Drosophila melanogaster: one gene and its partners. The protein of the gene in region 1 interacts with the protein of each later gene in a pairwise test. Each region holds a gene or a part of one and is shown in the gene's direction. Other genes may lie near its edges.

What was found.
Region 2: the proteins of ro (region 1) and drm interact in a two-hybrid assay, tested with the Drosophila melanogaster proteins (one large-scale study listed by BioGRID).
Region 3: the proteins of ro (region 1) and Irbp18 interact in a two-hybrid assay, tested with the Drosophila melanogaster proteins (one large-scale study listed by BioGRID).
Region 4: the proteins of ro (region 1) and sage interact in a two-hybrid assay, tested with the Drosophila melanogaster proteins (one large-scale study listed by BioGRID).

The regions. Positions count from the first base shown.
Region 1 is NT_033777.3:26,876,124-26,883,086, reverse strand, and holds ro (rough), read left to right. Parts: upstream 1-1,915; 5' UTR 1,916-1,981; coding exon 1,982-2,522; intron 2,523-2,627; exon of another isoform or gene 2,628-2,741; coding exon of another isoform or gene 2,742-3,002; intron 3,003-3,250; coding exon of another isoform or gene 3,251-3,493; exon of another isoform or gene 3,494-3,608; intron 3,609-5,310; coding exon 5,311-5,545; intron 5,546-5,917; coding exon 5,918-6,194; 3' UTR 6,195-6,316; downstream 6,317-6,963. Other genes in the region: CG5500 (uncharacterized protein), read right to left, coding at 2,742-3,002, 3,251-3,493; ms(3)K81 (male sterile (3) K81), read right to left, coding at 6,577-6,963.
Region 2 is NT_033779.5:3,537,952-3,542,841, forward strand, and holds the start of drm (drumstick), read left to right. Parts: upstream 1-1,781; 5' UTR 1,782-2,026; intron 2,027-4,890. UniProt on the Drosophila melanogaster protein: Putative transcription factor. May function redundantly with odd and sob in leg joint formation during the larval stages, acting downstream of Notch activation.
Region 3 is NT_037436.4:11,096,754-11,100,017, reverse strand, and holds Irbp18 (inverted repeat binding protein 18 kDa), read left to right. Parts: upstream 1-1,831; 5' UTR 1,832-1,876; coding exon of another isoform or gene 1,877-1,907; coding exon 1,908-2,018; intron 2,019-2,145; coding exon 2,146-2,376; 3' UTR 2,377-2,572; downstream 2,573-3,264. Other genes in the region: APP-BP1 (beta-Amyloid precursor protein binding protein 1), read right to left, coding at 1-275, 342-987, 1,044-1,208, 1,266-1,333; CG33947 (uncharacterized protein), read right to left, coding at 1,877-1,926, 2,957-3,005.
Region 4 is NT_033777.3:9,262,073-9,266,115, reverse strand, and holds sage (salivary gland-expressed bHLH), read left to right. Parts: upstream 1-1,973; 5' UTR 1,974-2,373; coding exon 2,374-3,041; intron 3,042-3,102; coding exon 3,103-3,241; 3' UTR 3,242-3,462; downstream 3,463-4,043. Other genes in the region: TrpRS (Tryptophanyl-tRNA synthetase), read left to right, coding at 57-636, 708-812; ATP6AP2 (ATPase H+ transporting accessory protein 2), read right to left, coding at 3,944-4,043.

The DNA.
Region 1 (6,963 bases):
TCAATCAAACATAAAAGTCCGCGTTCATTTCCATAACAATTTTCCCGTAATATGCTGCGCATGCGCAGGATAATGAAAACGAGCCCACGAGAAATCCCGCGGTGGGAATTAGGGAATCAAAAGAAATCCCACAATAAGCCCCTCGCGAATGCCTCCGCCCACGCCTCTGCATGTGCAAGCGGGATGGCCAGAGGCAGGAAGTTCTGCGTGCGAGCGAGAGGCAGCGTGCACCCTTAGCGCCGCTCATAAATGTCAATGGAAATGAAAAGGCTGATGTTATTGTTTTTTTTCGTTTGTTTTTGGATGGAAAACAGAATGAACAACATGTGGGTTTCGCTTTATTAAACATCGCCTGGAGGAGGAAATGCCGAAGAGGCTCTACACACGACAAAAAATATACAAACATTCTAAAGACTCAAAACACTATGCTTAAATATTTGCAAATTTATTTTAAGGTCTTTCAGCACAATGATGTGATGTATTGATGTATAAATTTAAGGTTACTGTTTGTAATTCATTAAATATGATTGTTTTGCAATTGATTCCAATCCAGTTTGATTACTTTTTAAGTCGAGGTTCATGTCTGAATTTCATTTTTCTGTGCAACCAGAAGGTATTTATAAATTGAGCTCAAAAAAATAAAACGCACGAAAAATGTTCAAAAAATTTGCATATGTCAGTGTAACAAAAAACCGAAATTGATGGATGGAAAAAAGTCGGCGACTGAAAAACACACACTCGCGGGCTTAAGCCAAATAAGCTCTAAACGAAACGAAACGAGTTTTAACAAAATATTTTTGCATTGCTCAAACGCAGCTCAGAGCCGTCAGAGAAACAAACACAAATGCACGCCGGGGCCAAATAAAAGCCATTCAATTAATATCCGGACAGAAAACAACAAACAAAAGTCGCTGCAATTTTTCTGGTTTTATTTGTTTTGCACTGCTCCCATTTTGTGGTGTTTGAGGGGATATGGGAATTCGATAAACAAAATCGAAATTGGCCAAAATCGAAGGGATGTACCTTTTTTTTTCTTATTTTCGTCACCACTTGTTGGTCTTTGTTTATTGTTATTATTCTTTATTGGCACTTTCGGTGGCTGCGACAGCTGCGCGAACTAACGGTACGTGCAAATCGGTTGCGCAGCGCAGACGGATTGGCAACATAACCGTAATCGTTTGTTTTTGTTTTCGTTCTTTCGATCACTATCACTTCATCGATACTTCTTTCCCAAAACAGCACACGTTTACGCACCGAAGTTTTGGGAACACATTATCCATGCTGATATAATCCACGAACTCGACTCGACTCGATTCGATTTGATTCGATCCCTCGCGCGCGCTATGTAAAATTACAGATAGTGGCGCGATTCGGTTGCTTATATAGACTTTTTGCCATTTAGACGGACCGTTTATGGTAGTTTGAAAAATGCATGAAATACATTGAAGAAGCAAATGCTGATTGCCCACCTCTAGGGATCTCGCTCTTAAGGTTGTTGTCCTCGCAAAGCACTGGCGAGGTAAGAAACTTGGCTAAACCAGGGACTGTACGCACACACTGCTTGTATGAAGACGTGAGTACTGCTTGCTTAAGAGTGGGCGGAGCTTATTTAGGCACACTGCTTGCCACCCTTAAGTGAAACTTTGGCCGGAAGTAAAATTAGGGGTTAATTGCACGGCACTTCAGCCAATCAAACCGGGTTTCAGGCCACACTTCAGGTGTTTAGTGGGAAGGGGGTCCTTTTTTTTTATTATTATTATTAGTAAGCAGCATTTTAGGCGCCCCCGCTGCTGCTGTTAATTTTCTGATGTGCCGCGTAATTTGCTTTGTTTTTTTTTTTCACCCAGTTCCTCTGCCGACGTCGACGTCAGGATAAGCGTCGCTTGACCAGCGGAAGTAGAATTATTTGTGGCACTTCAGTCGCTCGCCGATTACCCAAGTGATTAGTTTGGACAGCTAACGCGGCACATCCTCAAACGAAATGCAACGTCACAAAGTTGAGATTGGCTCACCCGACGGCTCGCCGGGCATCAAAAGGAGTGACAGCTTAGATCCCATAGCGAACACTACGATTCTATCCGTGCCGCAACGTCCCTCGTCGCCGCGACAGTTTTTCGAACGTCTGTACGGGCATTTGGAAACGCGCTCCTCGGAAAATGGGGAAATCGACGTCGGAACACACGCCCACAAGCCGCCGCCCTGTGACACGCCCTATCACAGCGATGGAGGAAGCGTCTCCTCGCCAGACATTTCCATCAGCGATGAACGCACCTCGCTAGCCGCATATCCCGCCTACGATTTCTATGGTCACGCCAAGGACTATCCGCAGCATCCTAGCCAGCAGCACCAGCAGCATCATCATCATCACCATCATCCGCCGCAGCTGGTGCACCAGAAACTCAGCTACGTGAGCCCGCCGCCAGCAATTGCCGCCGGTGGAGCTGCGAATCCTGTCCTGCCACACGCATTCCCAGCCGGCTTCCCAAGTGACCCGCACTTCAGCGCCGGCTTTTCCGCATTTCGTGAGTACTTACATTTAAAAAAGAATGGTTTCTAACAATGTGTAGAATATTTGCAAAGCTATGCAGAATCTTTAGAACTACGAAAATAACTTCTTCAGAACCTTAACTCTTACATGTTTATTTTGAGGTTTCTTAGTTCTTACACACTAAGTACAAGAGTAAATTTGAGCTACTACGAATTTGGTCCTAACTAGATATTTAGGTGAGCGGGGATTTGTACTACGGCGGGGGCGAGGATTTCTTTGGCTTTCCCTGCTTCGCTGCTTTCTCCGCCGCCGCCTTCTCCTCCCGCTGCTTAGCCATCTGGCGCAGCTCCAGGCTGAGGAACATCTTCAGGTTCGGGTCGGTGATCTTGCTCAGCACAATCTCTCGCGCCTCCTCATCGTTGTCGCCCAGCAGCTTGGCCAGCGTCTGTGCGTAGTCCAGCCAAACGCAGTTGGCGCAGCCCGACATGCAGCAGGTGGTGGGCTCGGGAGGTATCTGCAAACGATTATATAATATGCAATCTCTTGAGCCACTTTCCTCTTAGGATAGAAAGTTATTTCAGTATTGTGATAACAATTGGATCCTTCGATAATACTGCTCAATAGTTTTAGAAGTTCATAGAACTACACTAAGTTTTGTGTTACAATACTAGATCGATGATCCTTTCTTTCTAATGAACTACAATCTTACCAACTGATATTTAACCTATAATAGCAATGATAACAACTAGCTTACAACATTACCTCTATGTTTCTGAGCCGCTTCCTTCCCTTGGTGGTTTTATCTTTGGCTTTGGGAGTGTCAGTGCCCGTCGTTGTGCTATTGGGCGGACAGCCACTTGCTGCCTCCTGGGCGGCCGCATCCTTGCTGCTGGCATCATCCTGGGAGCTGCTGCCCGACAATTGGCGGGCCAGTGAGGCCCAACGCTCGGCGCCACGTCGCAGGAGCAAGCATCGCGGACAGCTGAAGCCCAGGGGAGCCAACATTTCCGCCCGATCCCCGAAAGAGTTCGAAAGTTACGATTGAAAAGGCCCAGAGGAAGTGATGAGCATTTCACACGCCTGCGCAGGTGCAGCCCAGATGAACTTGGTTCCGCAGGAACTGCAAAAAAAAAAAGTCGGATACGCAAAAAAAAACTGATTAATCGTCAGTGCTGCAATATTGAATATCCCCCACATCTTCGCACCGAGTGCGCTGGCCAGGATTATGTAAAATCAGTTGGAAAAAAATAAACGAAACTAAGGTGGGGCAACCAAGCAATGCCACACAATGAGCTGCTGCTGCTGCTGCTGCTGCTGACCCCCAAATGCAAAGAAATTAGCCAAGGAAAAAAAATAACCGAATGCCAAGAAAAAATTAAAACGCATTGAGCCGTGAAAGTTTTCGTTTACTTGCGGCTTTTTCGTTTGCTCCTGATGAGGTGGCCAAGGTGGCCAGGTGCGGAGATGAGGTTGAGGGGATATTGAAACATGGAAATGCGTCGGCTAATGAAAATGATCGCAGGTTAAGGGTGAATGGGTTAGCCATTCGTAAGCAAGAAATCAAAGTTAAAGACACTTTGAAACCTTTTCTACGAGCAGAAACGTATTCTACATATGCAAGCATTTTTTAGATTCAGAACAGTTGATATATTTAATGCTAAACCAGCTTGGTAGTTACTATAAGTACTTGATCTTTAAATTAACTAACTTACAAGCCAAACTTTTGGTCAATCTCAAAAAAATAACAAGTGTCTGAAAAAATTAGCATTGTAATTGAGCTCGGCAGGAAACCTAAAAAAGCAAACACAAACAGCAAGCGAGGAGGGTTAAGCGAGGAAGACTCATTTTTAGCCACAACAAACCGTCCGAAAGGACACTTGGCTATCGAATTACACACGTGATTTAAAAAAAAAAAAAAACCTTCGGCAAGGATCAGGGAAGAGCTTAAGCCCCTCCAGAGCCATCCGGACTAGGGGTAATCAAGCAAAAGCTAGAGATTACAACGCCCACAAAGCAACCCCTTCCCGGGGAAACCCCCCCTCCCCCCCCCCCACCATCCTAACACCACCGAGCAACTTGTCAGCTTCGCCTTGTTACATCAATTAGACTCTAAACCGCAACATTCACCATGGTGTGGGTGTTTGTGGTGGGTGTTCCTGGGTGGCAGGTGCTCGTTGTTGCAGGATGAAGTGGGGCATAATGTGCGCTTGGTTGAGCTTCATCGTCGGCGACACTGCGAATGCAAACAATCAAACGACAGAATGGAAAACTCGAAAGAGCGGATGATGCCGAGAATTTCGACGAGGATGATGATGATGATGATGGCCAGCCAGCTGTTGGCATTGTTATAACTTTCCCGGATCAGCATAGATTGCCGAAATGAAAAGCGTGGTAAAAAAAAAAACATAGAGAACAGAAACTACGTGGTAAATGCACTTTTAATGTGCACCACAAACGCGACCGACGACGAATTCTGGCAGGTGGGCGGGCGGAGAGAGCAAGAGAGGGAGGACGACGGATGGACCACGGATCGGAGTGGTTAATTATTTGTTTAACTGACGCAGCGACACGCAACCACATTCGAAAACGTTTAGTCCCGCTCATAACTTGATGGTTTGTTAATGTAAGATTAATTTCGCTCTAACATCTCCATTGTGTTGGACATAAACGAAAGTGGGTGGGCTGTGAAAAAATGATGCTATCCGACGGATGTCGTTATTGTACACACTGAATGGTGCGGGGTTTACATAACTAATAAGCTGATTCCAACTAGATATTATACACGTATTAATTGTAAGGATATCAATGTATTTGACTTTCAGTGGCTCGCAGGCGACGCAAGGAGGGAAGACAACGCCGCCAGAGGACCACTTTCAGCACAGAGCAGACGCTTCGCCTGGAGGTGGAGTTCCATCGGAACGAGTACATCTCCAGGAGTCGTCGCTTCGAGCTGGCCGAAACGCTGCGCCTGACCGAAACGCAAATCAAGATCTGGTTCCAGAATCGCAGGGCCAAGGACAAACGCATTGAAAAGGCTCAGATCGATCAGCACTACAGGTGGGTTTCCCCTTTAGCTAATTTGAATCGTTTTTTCTGTTTCATATGTACAAAGATATCATCGATTTTGATTGAGTTAAATAATATTAAATGAACATAAATTAATGGTTGATGAATAGCTCGTGAAGAGGATTTTAACTGGGTATTTATACCTGCATTTTCGAAACGGAAGTAATTTAGTGAAATGTCACTAGTTTAATTGATGGCCAACATGAAATTAACACGAAATTAATTTTACGACATTTATGCGCACACAGACCCAATTAGACGATATCATTTTTTTCCATATTTTTTTTTTTTTTTTTTTTTTTTTTTTGTGCCGGAGGGGGTTGCTCGAAATTATTTTGTACATTGATGTAATCAATTTTTCAGAAACTTTGTCGTGGCCAATGGTTTTATGAGCTCTATAATGGGTCAGGCTGCCACGACCATGCCCCCCGGAGGCGTCACTGGGGGCGTGGCGGTGGGCGTGGGCCTAAACTACTATGCCGCGGCAGCGACGCCGGCAGCGCTGCCCAAGGATAACACGCAGGATGCCAATTTCATCGACATCGATGACCAGTTCCAGCGCCAGCAACAACAAAAACAACAACAACAGCAGCAGCAGCAGCGACGTCGAGAAACAACAACGCCTATTAACATTTGCTAATACTTGCTAATTGATTACATTTATTTGAGCTTTAAACTGTTTAGATTAAGATCGAATAAAAGTCATTGTGAAAACATAACAGATTGCAGGAATTGCACTTTTCGAAGAAATCACTCACTGCTTGCCAACAAACTTACGTGTGTTGTTATGGACTCAGCATTTTGCACTTGATTTATTTATATAAGAGAGGGTTTTTGAGGGAAAACCAGGAAATTTGTTAAAAACCAAACAGCAAAACTAACAAACAATAATGCAGCCCTGGTGCTCAGCCAGCTGTTTCTGCTGCTAATAACATGGCGGAAACTATCGATAGATGGTTACATAGATGGTAACAGTGTTATTTCAAATTTAATTTATGAAAATATCCTAAATGAAACAAACATTATCCCCCAGTAGTTCCCGCCAGATAAATGGCCATAGCTTCACGATTTAGATGCACAAACTGGCGCCTTTTCGGAATTGGTTGGACATTCGGTAGCCGCGTTCCATTCACGGCATTCAAACTCAGATTCGAGCTGGGATCGTAGTCATCGGAGAAAAGTGTATCGTCGGAAGAATTGGACTCAACCAACTGGCTTCCTGCTCTTTGAGCCGCCGCCGCCGGCGCTGCGCTAGTGGTTGATTCTTGCTCCTCCGAGGATTGTGTTGTGGACACACTAGCCGCGGACTCATGAGATTTCTCACTACTGCTCCTCGAGAGAATAGCACTGGCTGCCTGTCTATTTGCCAGGTGTCTCTTCGCATTGTTGTTCTTCAGCCGGTAGAGCTG
Region 2 (4,890 bases), on another chromosome or scaffold:
AAATATTGCATCACATTCCTCGCCTCTGAAAACAAAGTCTTCAAAATTGCCAAGTAAGCCAAGTCATTTTTCAGACTCTTCTTTGGAGGGTTCATAATTAGTTTCTCCTTCAAAAGGAAGCTCCTCACAATTGTCGATACGTCTCCTTTTCGAGTTTGCTGATTGGCCATTTAAAATATGCAAATTTGATCCGAAAAACAATAAGACAGATGGACACAGATGGAGTGAAACAAAAGCGAGGCGGACAGAGATGAAGCCATCAAAGTGGAGTTGCCAACGGATTGCACTTAAAAATGCCCAAAAGCAGTCGAAAATAATTTGTTAAGCTTTATGGACAGGCGAAAACTTAATTAAAAACAATCCTTTTCTGGCGCACCTAATTAAAAACACTGGGTGTTAAGTTAATGAAGTTTCTTGCTGAATGAACGACACAGTTTTTCAGATTTCATTGAGAAATCGTAAAAGATAAACAGATATGGTGAGGCACAAAAGATAAACAGACCATCAATATGGTGTTTTTGTAGTATTATTTTTTCGGGTCTAAAGAGGCCACACAAGCAGAAGAGCGACAACAAAGGCGGAGGCGGCAAAGCCAAAGGAAATGCGAGAAAAAAGTTTCTCAGGCCCTGAAAACAAAATGGAGCTCCACAAAAAAAGAAGATAAATACACTAAAAATTGAGCACTGCGTAATACGGTTGCTCTGCTCTGCCACTGGTTTTTATATTTGGCCTCTCGCTCGCTCGCAAAACGGGTTAAGAAGCAGTTAAAAAGGGGGTGAGCGAGCGAGACGGCGCGAAAGAGTGGGACAGACAGAGCGCCGCCCAAAGCCACGCCCACATCTATAAAAATATACACAGGTATAAGTGAAAGAAAGTTACCTTTTTAGCCAAACAGCAGCTAGAAAGACAGAGAAGAAGTCCGAGGAAATCCAAAGAAATCGCAAGCTTATTACAGCCCGCATTATCCAGCACACCTTTCACTCATTAGTCGCCTAAACTTAATTGAAATGTTGGCTTACTTAAGCTTAATTAACAGTCAACTCAGGTAACGCCTTCGAAACCACTCAACTCAGGTAGCCTTCTCTCGCTCGCTCACTCTCCAGTTTTCTCAGTTCGCTCTTTAGCTCATTTTCCTCCGACCAATCAGCTGAAACACTCAAAACTCGTTCTCCGCGACCCAAACAGTGCGTGGGAAAGGGACAGCCAACCGAGAGAGGGCTGTAAAAAAGAGGGTAACCAAAAAAAGGAAAACAGAAAAAGTTCAACCCATCAAGCTGAAGTTTTCGATCGTAACTTTGCAGTTGACTCTCGCGCACAGAAGCGTTCGGAAGTGAAATATATTTTATTAATAATATTACCCAACACAGTGCTACCAAACAGAAATTGCATACAATTTGTGTCTTGCCAAATAGCAAACGGAATTTCGTGCTTTCGCAATAGGTAAGTGACGCCATTTTGTGACTTTTACGCTTGGCTTCCGTTAGAAGAGACGCCATTTTGTGGCTTCCGTTTGCCAGCTTCTGTACTTACGCATAAGAACTTAGGGCGAGCGAAAGGGATGGCTAGCGAGCGCTGCGCATGAGCAGTAGCTTCGGCTACCGGTCTTCGTTTTGCTTCGTTTCTCTTCGGATGACTCACACACACTTACACACACTCACACAGTGCCACCGAATTGAGTAACAGACAGGGACAGAGCGATGATCTCGCTTCCTCAACTTGCCAGCAGCGACGCCGGCAGCGACGCCGACAGAGGACGGCGGCAGAGGCGACTACTATTTCTTTCAGTTATTAGTAGCATTCATTCATTCAACTTTGTGCCGCTCGAGCGTGCGTATATAGTTCCCTCTCATCAGTAACAGTATCAGTAACAACATCAGTAACATTTCCTTCGCGAGTACCTTCAAAAGAGATACAAATCGATCTATCCATTCAGCGGACATACGAAAATCGCACAAAACTCAGCTATAGAAATCGGTTAGCCTCTACTCGAGTCCGAAGAACGCGTAACTCCAGTGCATCCCATTGGGTAAGTCTTTCTTCAGCTCCTCTCTTCAATGGCGTTCTTCGTGTTCTTCTGTTCGTCGTTCTTCCCCCTTCCACACTTGTTTCGCTACCAGTTTTACGCCGCTTTCATTGGACAACTGAAAACTGAGCAAAGAAAAGAAGAAGTAAACCCCACACGTAACACGGGTGCGTGTATCGGCCTCTCTTTCTGCCCGGGCCTCTCACTTCGGCTCTTTAGTGTGCCAGAGGGAGAGGGGCGATGCGTCTAATATGGCATGCGTGTGGCCAACGGAGCTTTTCGGCCTCTGTGTGCGTGAGAAAGTGTCGCCATTTGCCAAAATGGCGGACGCCAAGTCCGAATATTTCCCTATTGGACTGTAAAAAGTTTTTACCCGCACTTCTTGACACGAATTCCCCAAAATGGGTGATCTACTTGAAATACAACCGAGTTTATTGATCTCTCATTGTATAGTACAAATGTGTTATTAATTTCCGAAATGAATGAAGAAGAAATAATTTGTATCTCATAAAAAAATGCTCATTAATTTTCGAAAAGAAAACTATTTAATATTATTTTCTATTAAAGTTGGTCTAAAAAAACATTTGAGCTCTCTTCAGAACAAATATAAGTTTTTATTGTATCCTAAACTTTCAACCTGTTCTATTTTTAAAGGTTTCAGTCGTTTTCCATTGAAATTGTCTAGGAATTGAAAACTCTTAAAGCCGTCGGCATTTTTTCAGATTGAAAGAATAGAAGCTGAGAAGTTTAATGAGTCAGCATTAAGAACAAAAAGCCTAGTTTGTCGAAGGTTGATCGCGGACGCACAAAACACGGCAAATCATCGCCAAGAATGTTTGGCATATCATCATCAGCCGTTTTGGTACAAGTTATTTGCCTATGAGTCATGGAGTTGTGCTTTTTTCATTGGATTATGAAATACCAATGAGTACGGCTCAAGCTAACAACAGATGTTCAAAAAGTTGCGTCAAAGTCAGGTACTTTGAAATACCTGAGATTTGGCACTTGTGCGAAAATTCCAATGAATCTGGTGCGAAATCGCAGAAATCAGAACCCATATTCTAGGGGAACTTTCTGGAAGTAGGACTAACATTTACAATATAGGGAAATTCGTTTAACATAGTTATACTGAAGTAAAGTTGTTGTAAGAGTTTCGTGACCTCTGAAATTCTTACTGCTTTCCCGCGACCATTTCTTTCCCGTCTGTCTGATCTTTGACCTCGTCTGGACCTCCCGCTGCGCTCCATCAATTAGAGTCTAATTAGCTAAGCGATTACGGTAAATGGGCTCAGCTGGCAGCTAATCTGCGCCGACTTTTGAGCAACTGTCATATCTTACGGGCTGAAGGTGAGAAGCGTCCGAAATCGACTTGCTTCGGCCACGAAATTCCCATCCGATTTGCGATGGATCTAGGGAAGATCGCTCATACCTTGCCGCATTGTATCTTTGTATCTTGTGGTGTGTTTGTGTTTGGGGTTACGAAGGTATTCCTTTGTTCGCACTGAAGTGGCAGTGCCACACATCCTAATTGTTTCCACCGACTTATTGGTTCTGTTGTCAGGCCAGGATCTCGTGTGTGTGGGTGTTTTTCCCGGGAATTCTGCGCCATTAGCACAATTAGATTCGTATCAAATGGACTTCGGTGCCTTTGTCTTCAGAGCCTTATGTCCTTTTATTGTCATTTTTTCTCGCTTCGGTTTCTTCTTTTCACTTTTCGGTTGTAATTTTTAATGGCACCTTGCCAACTCACTGTCCGCCTCCTACAAAAAATAAAGGGATGACCACGGTGCGAGGTGAAAGAAGTGTGGTAATCGCTTTCGACCATATCCCACGTCCTGCGACGTGTGTGTCACTGCTTTGAGCCCTTTTTTTGGACCCAGTTTTGAGCCTGTTATCGCCCATACCGCTACACATTTATCTCGGGGTGTTAAACTGTAACTCTCGAGGCGGCTCGAGTTTCGTGGAAGCCCCCGACGCACTTACTTCTCTTACCAGAGATCTGGCCATATATAATCTCACTCTCTGTTTGCAGTTTGCCATTTTATTTCTCTTTCCCATCGCTGCAAATCTAATTTCACGCAGCATTAACGCCTTTCGCATGCCCTTCACACGGAAACCCAAAGTCCAGAGTCAGGATCATGCTGTGCTGAAGATCTCCCAGAGATCTCCAGATTTTCAGATCTTCACATCTCAACCTTCCTGTCCGAAACTATGTGTGTGTGCACAACACTAATAATTTTCAGTGCGGATTAATGGGATTATCTTTGAGTTGGACAACAGTTTATTATACAATATTTGGGCAGTTTTCCCTCCGTCTCTGTGGGTGTTCGTTTTTCGCATAAGCGGATTGTAATGTCCAGTTGCAAAATACTAACAGTTGGAGACCGTTTAAAGTCCCGGATCGGAGAAGGTGCCAAGTTAAGCCCGTTTGGATTTGCCATGACTTTGCACAGGTTTTTAGATGGATTCGGATGATTGTTTTGCTTGGATTTTCAACGGATTAAAAGGATATACCAACTTGATCAAAAGATTAGGATTATAACTGTAGGAAGATGCTTTACCTTTCAGTTTTGCTGAGTTAATATAATGAGATTGACTTTACCAATATGGATAGACCATGTGCCATTGGACACCTTTATTATTGGAATGCCCCAGGCCAGCTAACTTAACCTTCCAAATTGATGGGCTCACTCAATTGTCAGCTCGAATTTCACTGTTCTCGAAGGTCTCCCCCGCCCATTTTGCCCCATCCCCAGACTGAAGACAATTCCATCGTCATTCGACGCATCCAGCAAATGGCCAAATAGAGTGCTTAACCCCGGAGAGCAACCCGTGGCTAATGGTGCTCCACTTAGGCCCACGCTCCC
Region 3 (3,264 bases), on another chromosome or scaffold:
ACCGCCAGTCCGGCTGCTTCTTTGCAAATGAGACGCACACTTCTCTCATCAATGCTGTCGGCAGGCAAAGCCAACTGCTTAAGGTACTCCTGGCACTTGTGATACACCTGGTCGGCGTCTTGCAGCGCCTGTTGGCGGTAGATGTGCTGCAGGGCGATATAGGAGTCCGTATTGGCAGTCATGTCCGGCAGAACGCCAGGCAGAGGGAGATGGCCCTCATTCTCATGTATCACAAAGTGCTTTAGGGCCTTGGCCATGATCCAAAAGACGTTGCTCTGTAAAAAAAAAAGAAAAACAAATGAAAGTAAAGTATACGTATAAATTCAGATTATATGGGCAACCTTCTTGTTTAACTGTTCGCAGGCATCATCTTCGAATATGGCTTTCAGGCTTTTGGGAACCTGTCCCGCTCCAAAGGCTGTATTGACCGCCTTGATGGCCTCTTCATAGTTTTCCTCATCCGCCTTCATCTCCTCTCTAATGGTCTCCTTCAACTGATTCTTCTCTTTGTAATTTCGAGGCGTTTGAGTCCCATCCGCTTGTTGTTTTTGCCACACATTAAGGTATTTGTGAAGAACCAGCAACCAGGGCACCTTACTGGTCACCTCGGTGCCGTCGAGATGCTCCCGCAAAGCATCGAATGGATGCTCCAGACGCAGATCAAACTGTCGATTATCCGGATGCGCCTCCACGATGCAGTGTTCCCGTATTTGCAAGCGTATTGTGCCCAGCATGCCAAGCGATCGGCAGTAGATTAATGGAACGTTAAGCTCCCATAACCGTTCGGCCAGGAGAAGCAAAGTCTGCTCATTGAGATTGGAGGCAATCACTAAATCGAAGCTGTCGAAGAAGTTCGGTCTGTTGGCTAATAAAAAGTCGGCACTCTCGTCGACATAATCGCCATTTACGTCGGGATTGAGTTCCTGGAGAAGTTGCATGCAAGCCAATGCTTTAGATTTGCCCAGATAGCTGGAATCGAGGAAGAAACTACGGAAAAAGTGACTTTATAATGGTGGTCAGGGAATGTGTGATGGTCTACCGACTTGTTGCCCAGATCCTCCTCCTTGACGGTGCTGCCATCGGCCACAGTGAAGCCTCCGATACCGGGTAGCACCAGTCCCTTGGCAGTTTCACAGCCGACGGCCGTAACATTCACCAAACATACTGTGGCTGCCTCCAATAGCGTCTGTCCATGCTCTCCCCACAGCCTAAATAGGTGTCATCAGTGCTATGCTTCCGAATTTATCAATTAAAACGCTCCTCACCTGATTTGTCTGTCGTATTTCTTGCTTTTATCCGAAAGCTCTGGCGATTTGGGGGCTGGCGAGGACATTTCACTAGATTTTTGTGCAATAATAAGCCGGTTGCAAATAATCCAGTACTGTAAAGCGCCGGCAGCCAATACTTCTGACACAATTTGTTTATTGGGTGGAGTGTTGGAAAAAACACGTTGGTAATTTTAACTGTTGCTTATTTAAAACATTTATTGACTATTACGTATTACATTTCATTTAATTTTATTGCATTAAACTACATCTACGTACAAGCAATCAGTCTTTACAAATAAAATGTATAAACAGTTGAGAAATTAAAAAGTGAAAGTCTGAGCAAACCAAATAAAGTGTCTGGTTGACAGTTTTTGAATAGCATTCCATGGCTATGGTTTTGGGTGAGTTTTAATATTGATTTTCAACATGCAATTAATTTAATTAAATAATACCGCTAACTGTTTGTTGGCTGGGCAGTGTAGGCAGCGCATTTTGCAACACTGGGAGGGCTAATGAACAGCTGTTTTATCGTGTAATTTCACAACAAAACAACGCATACATCGCTGTGTTTTCTTCTGCATTTCCGTCCGATTGCGATCCAATTTGAACTAAATAAATATCAGTATTATCACGGAGATAATGCCGGCCAAAAAGAGAACTGCCGCGTCGACCAGCAAAAATAGCGATTCGCCATTAAGTCCGCACACAGACGATCCAGCGTACAAAGAAAAAAGAAAGAAAAACAATGAGGTAAGTTTAAGAGTTTTGGATGTAAACAGAGAGCAAAGATTGGGAAACATGTTGCTGTGGCGCCGTGGCCCCCAGAAGTCCCCAAAAATAGATGCCCACTATTGATTTATTACTATTCTCGGAACAGGCTGTTCAGCGCACACGCGAAAAGACCAAGAAATCGGCCGAGGAACGTAAGAAACGCATCGATGATTTGAGGAAGCAAAACGATGCTCTTAAGGTTCAGATCGAGACGAGTGAAAAACATATATCTACGCTTAGAGATCTGATCATTCAGGGTGAGAAAACGGAGGACGGCCATCGAATCATCCAGGAGATTCTCGCTGAACCAGATCCCGATCCCAAGGACAATGACTAACGAGGAGCTTCTCCTGATTTACCTTCTTATATTTTCATACTTTTAAGCCATTTCCCATGGTTGTTAACCATGTGTATCATCTTAGTTTTTCGATTAAAATGGTGCAATTGCTCGAATTCTATTACAAAGACAAGCACTCATGCAGACGAGAACAGTGTTTGTTAAAATCCTACATAAATGGTTTTCATTATTGGTGAGTTTTTATCATTTCTCACCAAATACTTGTTTTTGTTGTACTTTTCTTTTACTTTTGTTTATATTGTAACACTTAATCACTGTATCCATGTTGCACTGAATCTAAATTTTAAAATTATCTATATTTAGTAATAGTGATTTCTATTATTTTCGACATGATTCATACAGCTAAAATCATGCGAGTCTTGAATCAAATAAAGTGTCTATTATGATTTTACCCATATCAGTGTTATTTTATACCCAATACTTCAGCTGTTTACAACTACTACTACTATTATTATTTCCTTGAAAGTTGATGAACTCATTAATCAGAAATACAACCCAGATTCCATCATATACATATGTTCTACGTTTAAGTAGAACTTCCGGCAAATTAGATACTAACCGTCGTAAACGTCCAATTTCTCCATGTGTAGGCTAAAGACCTCGTCCATTTTCCGAGATATGAACATATGAACTAAAACTATAGCTATTGAGAAAGTGTCGTTGTGCCGATAGGTTTTTGGTTTCGGGTGTCCCGTTAGGTCTTGCTCTCTTTGCTTTTGTTGTGGGCGCTCCTTCCGTCTTCTTCTTTCAAACACTCACAAAAACATTGATTTACTGCACTTTTCGCACATTCATTTGATGCACAACTCGACGGCGATTTGATTTGGCGGGTGGTTGGTTTCGTGTCGAAATGGAAGTTGGATTGTG
Region 4 (4,043 bases), about 18 Mb from region 1:
AAGTAAATTAAAAAACTTTTAACCTGTATAATCTGTATTATCTATATTACTTACAGAAAATGTCCTGCCATGTATCAGAACATCATTCGCATCCAGAAGTGCGTTACCTTCAATCAGGTCAAGGGCATCTTTGGCTTCGGGGACTCAGACATCATTGGCAAGATTGGTTTCCCAGCCGCTCAAGCAGCTCCCGCGATTTCCAGCACCTTCCCCTTCATCTTCGGCAACAGGAAGGTGCACTGCCTCATCCCGTGCGCCATCGATCAGGACCCATATTTCCGCATGACTCGCGATGTGGCTCCACGTCTTGGTTTTCCCAAATGCGCGCTCATCCATTCGACCTTCTTCCCGGCGCTGCAGGGTGCCAAGACGAAGATGTCGGCTAGCGACCAGAACTCGGCTGTTTATCTGACGGACACGCCCAAGCAGATTAAGAACAAGATCAACAAGTACGCCTTCTCCGGAGGACGCGTATCTGTGGAGGAGCACCGCAAGCTGGGCGGAGTTCCGGAAGTTGATGTCTCCTATCAGCTGTTGAAGTTCTTCCTGGAGGACGATGCCAAGTTGGAGGAGGTGAGAGTGGCTTACAGCAAAGGCGAAATGCTTACGGGCGAGATCAAGAAGCTGGCAGTTGAGGTAAGTGCAATGATGATGCTACAATCTTCCCAAAAAACATTGTAATTAATGTGCTCAAATGATCTTCTTAGACGCTCACACCCATTGTGGAACAGCATCAGGCCGCCCGCAAGCTGATTACGGACGAAGTGCTGGACAAGTACTTCGAACTACGACCCCTGAAGTTCGGAAGTTAGAACGGTAGCCGAATTGAGGTACCTGCATTTGCTTGACATCGATTCTTACTACCAGTTTATATGAAATTAGCTTAAATCGAACTAAGCGATATTAGTTTAGCACCGAACCGACTAAGGCACTTCTATGTAAATAGCTATACAGAATTGATCTATGCCTTGGCTCTGAGTCCGTGTGGCGCCCACTTAATGCATCGTTGTACTCGCTATTTATTTTATTTTTTACACAGCGTGTTTATTTTTATAAAGCAGAAAACAATAAACTTCGGCTTCGATTTGCAATTGCCACCACAGTGACCCACATTTGGGAAGTTGTTAGCAAGTCTATACATTTTCCTGGAAACCCGAAACGTTCAGCCAAGGAGAGAAACAAGTCAACTCTCTAGGTTTCCCTAGAAACTACACTCTGCTCATATTCATTTCCGATTCCGGGCAAAGGTGCCTCTCTGGTTAGCCAGCTAGCAAAATAACTCTCGACTTCGGAAAAATGTAAGTAATTTTCTCACTTCTAGTTGTGTGTTGTTTTTTTTTTCTGGTAACCCGAGATCTTGCACATGAATTGAATTTCGCGGGCTATCAGTAGATATTCTTCTAGTTTTTTCCTTGCGGTTTATAGTTTCAGGAATTCTGAATTTTCGGAAGAAAAAAATAATTTGCTAGTTAATTACTATTAATTAAAGAAGATATGTAGTAATAATGGAAACTGTGCTCAATATCTCAGTCTTTTAAGCAAGTATCTATTTCAATTAAGAAAAATCATAAAAATAGGTATAGAATATGTAATATAATTTTTAATAGGATTATAAGAGCACTTAGCTGGCGATCACGGTTTTTCATTGACTAGAGAGAAACCAAATTAGTTTGAAATTAGAATTGGGCGAAGTTTGGAGCTAGATTGGCCAAGCTTAGGTTTCTTACCTTCATATAGACGAACCTATATTCATAACTAGCTATATGCATATGTGTGTATTTTTTAATTAAGTCAAAACACTTGTGTTTACATGCGTCGAAAATACACTCTTTCATATGGGCTGAGTTCCAGTGTGGGTGTTTGTACATAGCGACGATCAAAAAGAAAAACTCAAACTGAAGTTGTGGCGACGATCGTCGATCGCTGATCCCAGAGAGGGATCCGACATAAGTCGGACGCAACTCCAGCCTGCCACACGCGCCTCGATCACCATTCGCAGCCGTCGGAGTCGGATCGATCGGACAATAGCGAGGAAATTAAGCCGCTTTGTTTGCACAGCGATTGGATGGGACAAAAGGACCCTCGACGACAAGTTGGTCCCCTATAGATCACCTGTTGACACACGTACAAAGCGGTGGCCTCTTAAACTAGACGAGATGTGGCCCTCATCAACCCCGGATGAGTAGTCACGTCTCGAATCGATGGATCGATGGTGAGCCATTCATCACGATCGCCAGAGTCGTCTCTAATGCAACTAAAAGTAAGCAAAACAAAAAGGTACAAGCTAAAAAAAAAAAAACCAACCGAGTCCAGGTAAACCTGCTGCAGTCCGGCCAGAACTCTTGATCGGTCATTCGAAAAGCGGCTTAAGCGATGACGGATCAACTGCTGAGCTCCACGGCCGGCGTACCGGGTGATCCACCGCCAGTTTTGGTGCCCGTATCAGCCACCACCGGTGGACCCTATTTGAGCGGTGGATCCGAGGGCGAGGCGGAATCATCGGAACAGCCCGTTCTTCTAGAGCTCGGTGCCCCTCAATCGTCCAGTTGTCCGGCAGTTAGTCTCAACTACACCCTAACCGCGGATGGAGCAGGCTTGCTGGCATATGCGCCAACTCATCCGCATAGCTACTCACCCAGCGTGATGGGTGGCTACGAGAAGGAAGCGCACAATATGGGTCTGTTGCCACCCACATATAGCGTTATACCTCAGCCGGTGTCGATGTGGCATGCTGGCCAGGTGGCCACCGGTTCGCCAGTGGGCTTGGAATGCAACAAACCCAGTGAGCTGGTACCTCCGCCCATGTATATGAGCTATAGCGGCGGTAGTATAGCCAATAGCACTGAGGTGGACATCGCCAAAGAGCACAATCCCGCCTGGCGGGAGAAGGCGCTGCAAATGGAGAAGGACTATAGACGCACCGCCTGCGATCGGGAAAGAACCAGGATGCGGGACATGAACCGAGCCTTTGACTTACTGCGCTCCAAGCTACCCATATCCAAGCCAAATGGGAAAAAGTACTCCAAAATCGAGAGTTTGAGGTAAGTGAAAGTATCTGCGGTAGAGCTCTGTAATATATTTATATGATCTTTGCCTACCCAGGATTGCCATCAACTACATTAATCACCTGCAGGCCATGCTGCGGGAGAGCTCCGTGGGTCAAAATGGCAATGGATGCTGTGCCTGGAGCGGCGGAAGTAGTTCACCTTATGATAATGGCAACGATCATTGGGGAGCGTAACTTGAATTAACGAATATCAAAGGGAATTCATTTAAATATTCAATTTAAAACTTGTGTTATATTATATCCGCAATTTGCCAAAGTCATTCCATGAACCTATAAAAGTTAAGGTCCATACTTTACGATTTTGAGAAGAAAAAAATTGAAATAGCTTTCATTTTATATTAGTTTATCATGTTAACCTTTTTATAAGTGCAATAATTAAATAAATTATCAAGAATACCACGTATGATTTCAATTATCATTTGCCCCAAAAACTAGATAACAAAACCAGGCGCAACTTTGTCTTTTTAGGCTATATATATTTAACTTTACTTTTCAACACTTCACATTTTGATAATTTACATATGATGAATCGTTTGAAGAACTGACTGACTTGGCGAGTATGTTGTGCATATTCGTATATATATATAAACCTAAAAAGTACAACAAAACAGGAAAATGTAACAAATTTCTATGGAATTGTTGCGACGCCCGCAACTGCATTGAAAACTGAAAAGTTTTTTAATACTTATTTATAGATAATAAAACCAACTACTGCGACAGCTGTCCGCACACACACAAACACACAATTTATCCGCTGTTGGATTGAAGTAGAAGTTGGCAAATTTCAACTTAAAAGGGGGACGAAATAACAAAGCGTAACGCAAGCTCCTCTCGCTCCTCCTGCTCCTCTCGCTTCTCAACTCCTCCTGCTCCTCCTTAGTTGTCCTTCTTGATGCGGGTAGAGGTCATGCGGTAAATGATGGAGTCCCTGCCGGGATCCATGGCAGCGATGGCGTAGCAGATAGCCAGCAGAGAC